Linked DNA regions of Kluyveromyces lactis. The protein of the gene in region 1 purifies or fractionates together with the protein of each later gene. This does not show direct contact. Links are inferred from orthologs where the notes say so. Each region holds a gene or a part of one and is shown on either strand. Other genes may lie near its edges. The genes, in order: GPA1, FUS3 and STE18.

The links.
Region 2: the proteins of GPA1 (region 1) and FUS3 purify together in Saccharomyces cerevisiae (affinity purification with western blotting; 3 studies listed by BioGRID). This does not show direct contact. The link is inferred for Kluyveromyces lactis from reciprocal best matches to the Saccharomyces cerevisiae genes GPA1 and FUS3.
Region 3: the proteins of GPA1 (region 1) and STE18 purify together in Saccharomyces cerevisiae (affinity purification with western blotting; 3 studies listed by BioGRID, with this or other methods). This does not show direct contact. The link is inferred for Kluyveromyces lactis from reciprocal best matches to the Saccharomyces cerevisiae genes GPA1 and STE18.

The regions. Positions count from the first base shown.
Region 1 is NC_006042.1:2,405,460-2,408,565, reverse strand, and holds GPA1 (guanine nucleotide-binding protein subunit alpha), read right to left. Parts: upstream 1,970-3,106; coding exon 626-1,969; downstream 1-625. Other genes in the region: SRX1 (sulfiredoxin), read right to left, coding at 1-285; cytochrome c1 heme lyase CYT2, read left to right, coding at 2,735-3,106. UniProt on the Saccharomyces cerevisiae protein: Alpha subunit of the heterotrimeric guanine nucleotide-binding protein (G protein) that mediates mating pheromone signal transduction.
Region 2 is NC_006041.1:928,439-931,703, reverse strand, and holds FUS3 (mitogen-activated serine/threonine-protein kinase FUS3), read right to left. Parts: upstream 1,716-3,265; coding exon 600-1,715; downstream 1-599. Other genes in the region: PEP1 (type I sorting receptor), read left to right, coding at 2,303-3,265. UniProt on the Saccharomyces cerevisiae protein: Together with closely related KSS1, FUS3 is the final kinase in the signal transduction cascade regulating activation/repression of the mating and filamentation pathways, induced by pheromone and nitrogen/carbon limitation, respectively.
Region 3 is NC_006041.1:557,254-559,414, reverse strand, and holds STE18 (Ste18p), read left to right. Parts: upstream 1-1,273; coding exon 1,274-1,546; downstream 1,547-2,161. Other genes in the region: TMH11 (Tmh11p), read right to left, coding at 404-721; ERV2 (flavin-linked sulfhydryl oxidase), read right to left, coding at 1,684-2,161. UniProt on the Saccharomyces cerevisiae protein: Implicated in the pheromone A- and alpha-factor response pathway. The beta and gamma chains of the putative yeast mating response pathway G protein play a positive role in initiation of the mating response.

The DNA.
Region 1 (3,106 bases):
CGCCTGGAGACGATGGCAGCCGCCGAATGCAAAGTACCTTGTTTCTCCTGTTTCCGGGTAACGGACGGCAGCGACGTCCACTGGAGGTAGACGCTGATCGGCGGGTAATGTGGCAACACGTTCTGCAGCTTGTGACTCGGTCATTGTTCGAGACGCCTTCGGTGTTCCCTTGAAAGTAGATATCATCGCATCGATCTTTGCATGGTCTAGGACCGGCTGAATGGGCCGTATGATCTGGCTCAATGGGATGTTCTTTTCCTTGCACAAACTCGTCTGCATAGACATTCTCTGTAATGGTATGTTGGGTGTGTATGTTTTTTTATGGCTCTTGATTAACGGTTATATCCTGCAAGTATCTATATATTGTCAGTACAGTAGAACTTCGTCAAGCAAGGGTACTTATGTGTCTTGTTGAAGTTCTTAAATAGTAGACTTGCTTGCTATCTTTCGTTACCCGGAAACACCCTGTTTTTTTGCCTTTTCACTTTTAACCTGGCCTTTGTGATGGGGTCTGACAAATATTTGAGGTTACCCTCTAAAAGATCTAGAACCTTATTCATCGCTTAACTATGTACAACTTATATGTAATGTGTGCGCGTTACCTGACATATTACACCTAAAGGATTTATAAGATGCCGCTCTTTTTTAGGTTTTGTTGAATTACTAAATCTGTCACGGCACCTAGAACGAATCTCATTGATTGTGTATCGGTTGCACAAGTTCGATGTACGTAGATGGGCTTGTTACTTCTGTTCAAGCTTAAGAATAATGATTCGAAATATTTCAGTCCAGTCTCGCTATCACCCAGTTTCCCTGGATAATTGGGGAACCATGTTCTGATTGGAGATCTCTTCACCTTTTCTTGGAAAATATCTACTTTGTTTAAGAATAGTATGAAAGGTGTGTTGGCAAACCATCTAGAATTCAATAGTGTATCTAATAATACTATCGATTCGTGCATACGGTTCACCCTTTCATCTTCGAATAACATTTGATCATATTCACTAATTGCTATTACAAATACCACAGCAGTAATACCTTCGAAACAATGGATCCATTTTCTTCTCTCGCTTCGTTGTCCCCCAGCATCGTAAACTTTGAACGTGCTTGGTCCAATCTTGAAACTGTTTTCGGTGATCCCAGTGGTCTTAATTCTTCCTTTCAAAATGTCCATGTCATCACAAACATAATCAACTCGAGCGAATTTTTCAATGTTATCAAAATAATACGATGCAGATCCTTCCAATTGAAATTCACTTGACCTATTGAAACATTGTCTGATCCCCTTGTCCTGCGTCCAAAGCTTTTTGATTGCATAGGCAATTTCTTCGTTGGTACTTTGGTCTATACGTTTCAACTCTGAAGTCTCCGAGGAACCAGTATAACTTGTCCCGGCTAATTTTTCACTCAAGAAAGCGTCTGTCTCATCCTCTTCTTCAGGATCAGCACCATTTGATTCCTTGAATCCAAGCGTGGTTTGCCTCTTCTTCTTAGATCCTATGCCATTATATTTCAACACATACTCGTTTAGGAACTCTGAACCACCCGCCATTCTGGCATCAATCTGGTCCAATGTGTTAGCACGGAAGATCTTCTCTTTGCATTGGTGTAATTCCGTATTCACCAATTGCCCCGAATGTGCATTTTTCAAATCACTATCCAATTCGATGCCCAACTTGCCTGCTTGTAAGATTAGCGTTCTCATCGACTCAATTGCATCTGCCCAGATGACTTGTCCATATTGCATTCGTTCTCTATGGGTAAATCCGCCTTGGTGTAGGAGTTTCATTTGTTTCAACACTGTTGATTTACCGCTTTCTCCTGCTCCTAATAGAAGGAGCTTCACCTCATTCTTATTCTTATTCCTTTCCTGCTGTAAATTTTGCTCAATGAGATCATTTGCCCTTTTATTTTGAATGAAGGGATCATCCTCGTTCTCATAGTTTCCTGTACTTGCGACGCAACCCATAATGCTTAATTTCTTGCCGGCCAGCGTCAGTTTCTTTCATTTGTTTCATTTTCCTTTATAGTTCACGTTTTCGCCGTAGTTGGCACGATGTGGCCAATCCGTCTATATATATGTTAATATTAAAAGGTAACGTAGCAATATTTACTTTACATTCCTGATTTAGCATTGCATAGCCTTTATCATAGGAACCTCAAAACATGATGAAGCTTTGAGTCAAGAACCTCAACTCAGATACCCTAGAAATCTCACAGAGACGACAACTAAAATCAAGCTCAATTGGAAAATAAAACAAGCAAGTAAAAAACAAACAAGCACTTGACACTGTTTAAGGGTTTGCTTCCTTTTAAAAAACATTCCTAGCAACGTCCCTGTTTCAGATTTAGGTTGAAGTCGCTCTGCAGGTAATTACTGCACCACAATATGTTAACGGTGGCTGCAAGATCGATTGCTATGTACAACGGAGAGCTGTCTCCATCTGGAGGTCAAGTCACGTGAGAAACAAGGATGTTTGTCGCACATTCGGGTAATGAAATGTCATCTCCCGTGGATATCAATTTCATTCTGAAACTTCATCAATTTGATATCAATTGAAAAGAAATGAATGAAATGGAAAAGTATGCAGAACATGCGAATACAGGAAAGCTTATTCATGCGCATTTCATCAGGATAGGCTTGAACGCAATAGTTCGAAATATAGAAGCAACATCGTTGGCGGCTTAAAGGGGATTCGCGACTGTTTAGAAGCTAACTGTGGAGTGCAAAAGAATGCCAGAACAGCCTAAGTGTCCTGTGGATGACTCCACGAAGGAAGTGTGGTTGAAACAACAGAGCACTAATAATAAGAATGAATCAGCAAAAGCACTACCTCCAAATCATCCACCGGCTAGTTCTGAAGGGTCAGGAGTTTGTCCGGTAGACCATTCTTCCCAGGATGTATGGCTGAAAAACCATCTACAGACCGTTAATGGCTCTGCTGGCGGTGCTGCAGTTGCAGCAGCACCAGCACCAATCATATCGATCATCACTGAGGATGTCGAATGTTCAAGTGATGAGATACCTGAACACCCGAAATATACCACAGCTGTTAATTTGCCAACAGAGAGAGAGAAATCCTCCATTCCTAGAACCGGAACATCG
Region 2 (3,265 bases), on another chromosome or scaffold:
CAAAGCGAAAACTAAAAACCAAAACAACAAAAAATGGCTGGATATACTAAGCGAAGTAATGCAGCGCGTTAGAAAAAAAAAATCGCGTCTAACTGCTGTGCGCTACTCGAATCACACAATAGCTCGGACATCCCGAAACATTAATGGTGCAGCTTACTCAGTTTACTAAGTTTGCAAGGATAGAGAGGGGAAGGAATCGTATCGGGTCGTAAGAATTACTGCATGTGGCAATGTATGACTGAAGAGCATACCATAGTGAAGGAAAGAGTCATGCGTGTTAAAGTCCGGATCAATGGATTTTTTGCATTTTCGTTCACAGATTTCCTAGTGCGTGTAATTTGTTTTTCTTGGTTTGACCTTCCCTGCAACGAGGGGGCCCCTAAAACAAACAAGAAAAAATCGCATTTAAGATAATCGCAGAACGGCGGCTCCGAAATGGGATCTTTTCGTCTCAATTTCTTTTTTTCCTTTCCAAAGCACAAAACCGCATTATGTTTATCTGATGGTGTTCTTTGTTCATTTTGGAGACCTCTACACAAGAAAATGATATAATACGCTAGTGGTTACTTAGTCATTCGTTTGTTTTTGGATGGTGTGTCTCATGACACGATTTCGTTCCATAACAGCCGCTTCAAATCCTTTGTATTTAGCCGCGACTTCCATTGGTCAAATTGAAAGAATGACGAAGGAATCGGAGTTCCTTCGGGCTCGTCGTCCGGGTCATGGTACGAGACCAAGTATGGATGTGATAGCGCTTCCGTGGCAGTGATCCGTAGCCTCGGATCGAATTGCAGCATCCGGTCAAGGAGATCAAGAGCGGCTGCAGATGCATTCGGGAACCTACGCCGCCAATTGATCTTGGGATGCTTAGGTAACGAGCGAATGTACTCACGTGCACGTCTATTTTCTACTAGCTCCACCAATTCTTGTTCCGTGGGTGTCCCTAAAGTCTGAAATATCAGGATCAACTGATCTCTGTAATCTTTCCCGGGGAACAACGGTTGTTTCCCCAAGAGCTCGGCAAGAATGCATCCGCATGACCATACGTCCATGGACTTGGAGTACTGTGCAGCTGTTAACATTACTTCCGGTGCTCGGTACCATCGGGTTGCCACATACTCTGTCATTCCCGAAATTGCCGGGTCACCGTCATTAGCCGCCGATGAAGGGGAGTTATCATCCGTGTCATCAGCGTCAACATGGGCATCGCCATCTGTTGCTCTTTCAGATACAATTCTTGCCAAACCAAAATCACAGATTTTCAAATCGCAGTTGCTGTTTAACAACAAATTACTTGGTTTTAAATCTCGATGGATCACATTACTTCCATGCAGCACTTTAAGCGCCCTTAAAGTTTGGTATACAAAATACTGCACATGATCCTCACTTAGTTCCTGCGTCACGATCACTCTATGCAAGTCCGTCTGCATCAACTCTTGAATTATGTACACCTCGTTAAACTGTTCGAAAGATGATGGTTTTTGCACGTCAAATATGCTGATTATGTTTTCGTGTTGGAAATGCTTCAATATCTTGATCTCTCTTAATGTTCTAATAGAAAATAGGGGTTTCTCAAAAGGTTCGATCTTTTTGATAGCAACTATTTCTCCACTGGGTTTGTGCTTCGCTGAACATACCACTCCGTAAGCACCCTCACCGAGAAGCGACTGTAGTTGAAACTCAGAGCTTATGTTAAATACTATCCTCTTGCCCATTGTCACACTATCTATCTCTGGTTCTCTGGATGAATAAAACCAGAGCAAAAATTTGTCCACCCCTTCTTGCCTGAGAATTTATCCATATTTACCCACTTTTAGGTATGATATATATATATGTAATATCTTAAGTCTTCTTGTTTCTCACTAAATCGCCTCAAAACCTCAAACCATCGAAGTTTTCACTTTAATTGTTTGTAATTCATGAACGCGACATTCCCCATATTCCCTTAAGTACGGCCGTTTCATCTTGAAACGAGACTAATTTCTTCAGAGATAATGTGAAACAAGCTGCAACAGTTTAGGGAAAAATTAAGGTTCTTAATTATGTTCACATTCACGTGACGCGTCCTTTTTTTTCCTTCTTCCCTTTTACCAACTTTCAAATGCTCAGAATTGGTATTATCAAAATTGCTAGGAGGAAAAAATAGAATATATCGTACAGATTGTCTTTTGAACCATTGTTCAACAGTTCGTTGTAATTTTGGTCTTAGCGGTAGTTAGCTTGTGTTTCATGTATATACTCAATTACCGATATAAACGAAACCCTTTTACATTGCTTGCAGTACTTTTAACGTCTTTGTCTCATGTTTTGGTGGAATATCCTTATTTGGCTGGGGCTTTGGAACTTTCTGCCCGTTTTGGCTCAGGATTTTAAACCCAAGGTATCGTTCCATTCGGATGTAGACACGCATGGCCGCTTGTCTATCCTCGGATTTGATGATTCGAGAGTAGTTCTTAAACTTCTTCGTGGTGTTGAGCTTTATAGAAGTGAGGATAATGGTGTTACTTGGGATTCGGTGGGATTGCCCCTTTCGTCTGATAACAAACCTCAGGAATGGAATCACTTGGTACTAGATCGGATTTATAAAGCAGATGTTGCATATTTGAGTGGTGAAAACGGCGTTTTAGCTACCGGTGATAAAGGGAAATCTTGGAAACAGTTAACTTTCCTAGACGCAGATAATCATAAGATAGACTTCTCTGATTATTCGAACGTCGGCGATGAAAATCGTAAACCGATTATCAACGTTGAAATCGAGTCACATCCCACAAATAAGAATGCAAGAATTATCAATATCTATGAACTAGGTAAACTGGATGGTAAATTTACCTTAAGGCAGATTTCGTTTTATTCCAAAGATGGTAACAATTTCAAATTGGCCAGCTCTGGTTCTAAAAGTAATGATGATTCAAACCCTTTAAACATGTTTTGTTCATTCGTACAGAAATCATCAAAATCAAAACTGTACAAATTAAAAGACAAGGTAATCTGTCAGGAGAGTACCGTACTATCCCCTTTCGGAGATGTTTCCAGTAAGTTGTATATCACCGATGTTAATTTTAAGAGTTTGAGTCCGTTTGCCGAACAATTACAGGATTTGTCTCCAGCATCAACGTTCATTTCCGATAATCATCTATTTATCTTGACATTATCAGATCGGTTCAATGAAAATTCTGCCGCAAATCTCTGGAGATTGGAAGATGATAGCACTGATAAGTTTGAACAAATATCCCTTGGAACACAGATTCGTAAATCGCTAATGGAC
Region 3 (2,161 bases), on another chromosome or scaffold:
TCTGCTATAGGTATCGTGATTTAAGGGTTTGTTTTTGAAAAGTGAGAATAATCACTCAATCATCCACACAACCATACAATAAATATATCATACCCCATGCATTTTACAAGATTAAACTGGTTTTAATTTTCTGATAGTGGAATTTTTGACTATCAACCCTGCTTACGTTCACTACTTGTAACGAACACCTATCTTTTTTCAATAATATATTATACTACCATATATTATTATATTTCTCTCACTCTATATTATATGCATTTTACCAATTCAATATCATTTTTCCTGTTATAATATTAATATTTACTATTAGTTTCATGAATTCGACTTTAACATTAGACCTATATACAGATTTAGAAAAAAAACAGTTAAAACGAATGATATGTACTCACATTATGTAGTATTCTTATGGGTAGAATTCCTTGTACTTCTTGTAGTAGTACCAAGTACCCAGACCACCAAGAACAGTCAACACCACTGGCACTGGTTTCTTGAATCTGCCTGGGATACCTCTGGCGATACCGGTGACTAGCATCACACTGGACGCACCTAATGCGATTTCTAACCCGTTGTCAGCATTGTTCTTCAAAAGGTATCCAGCGTACCCGTAAATACCACCGAAGGTCAACCCGGCAACCAACGATGGAACACTTCCCTTACGGATGTAACCCATGGTACCACCAATGGTGGCTAGAGCAGCTAAAGCAAAACTTGGATGGTCCATTGTAATTGTTATCTTTGTGAATATTAGATGAACTCTGTCGGTGAGAACTAGACTGGGTTGTGCTATATAAATTGTGAGGTGTATTTAGTTTGAACATGTCTATCATGATGATGGTCATTGCATTTGTAATTTTGTTTTCACTTTTATCTCTGAATTTCATACAGGGAAAGCAAAGAAAAGGGATTGGATCGGGGTTCGACAGTCACGTGACTAAAAAAGGTCTCCTTTCCCAGGCGCTGGACAGCGTCAGTATGAGTTTTTTTTATGGCCAAAACCTCATTAGATACTGATTTGAGGTTTCAAGATGAACCACAACCAGACAAATATTGACTGAGATACTGGAGGTTCTCATGCCAGCGGGAAATTTAGTACAGGATTGCTAAAAGAAAACGTTGTTTCAGTCAAGGGTTTTATGTATATAAAGGTTTGTAATTGGTAGTTTTAACGCTTGGTACAACTGTTTTGCAGAAAAACTCGGTGCAGTGATAAGAGTGAGTAAAGATAAGCTCTCTTCCTTGGTGTAGTTTTCGAGTTTGTATTTGTGTACCACTGATGGGAGAGTTACCATATAAGATCCAGGAATTGAAATTGAGAAGAATCGAAGAATTGAATAATAAATTAAGAAATGAGCTAGCAAGGGAAAGAATGACTGCGTCAAATGCTTGTTTGTCCATAATCGACTATACCTCAACCCATAAGGATTACGCTGTTCCAGAAGTATGGGGTTACCCAATGGTTGGTGAAAACCCATATAATAATACTATGAGGAAGAACAATTTTGCTAGATCTCACGAGGAAACGAGTGCCTGTTGTACCATAATGTGATGATAAAAATATTGCTGCCGTATACTCTCTATGCTTATTAGTTACATATATATTTAGATAAAACGAAATGCGAATGCAACAATATTAGATCTTATTCTTTCAATTGACACATACGGAGGGTAAACGATTCCCTCACTTCATCCCAATTGTTTCTCCTCTTTGTTCAACGTTACTTTGTTCATTTTCAAAGATGGATCGATATTACCGTTCTCGTCAGTGCATCCACAGTCGTAATCTTCTAAGATTGTGTTACAATCGTACCTTGGTTTTTCAAGATGATCGTTCACTAGATTATGAATATGACAGCCCCATAAAGCAGCAGTGGTTCTACTGGCTACTTGTGGTGGGTATTTCTTCAACATCTTGACGAAATGGTAAGAACATTCGCCACATGGATATAACTCCGCATATAGGTAAAGAAATTCACGTAGTTTCGTTTTCTCTTGCTCTGTAGGCTCGTCGGGAAATCTGGCTAAAAGAGTGTGGAAATATTTCCATGAAGCCCGCCCCAAAGCCTTTTTCGCCTCCTGATCAGGCATCTTCGGCATAATCGTACCTGATGCATCATCGTTCTTCGCGTTCGCACTTAGTCCTCCAAACAGATCGGATTTGGTA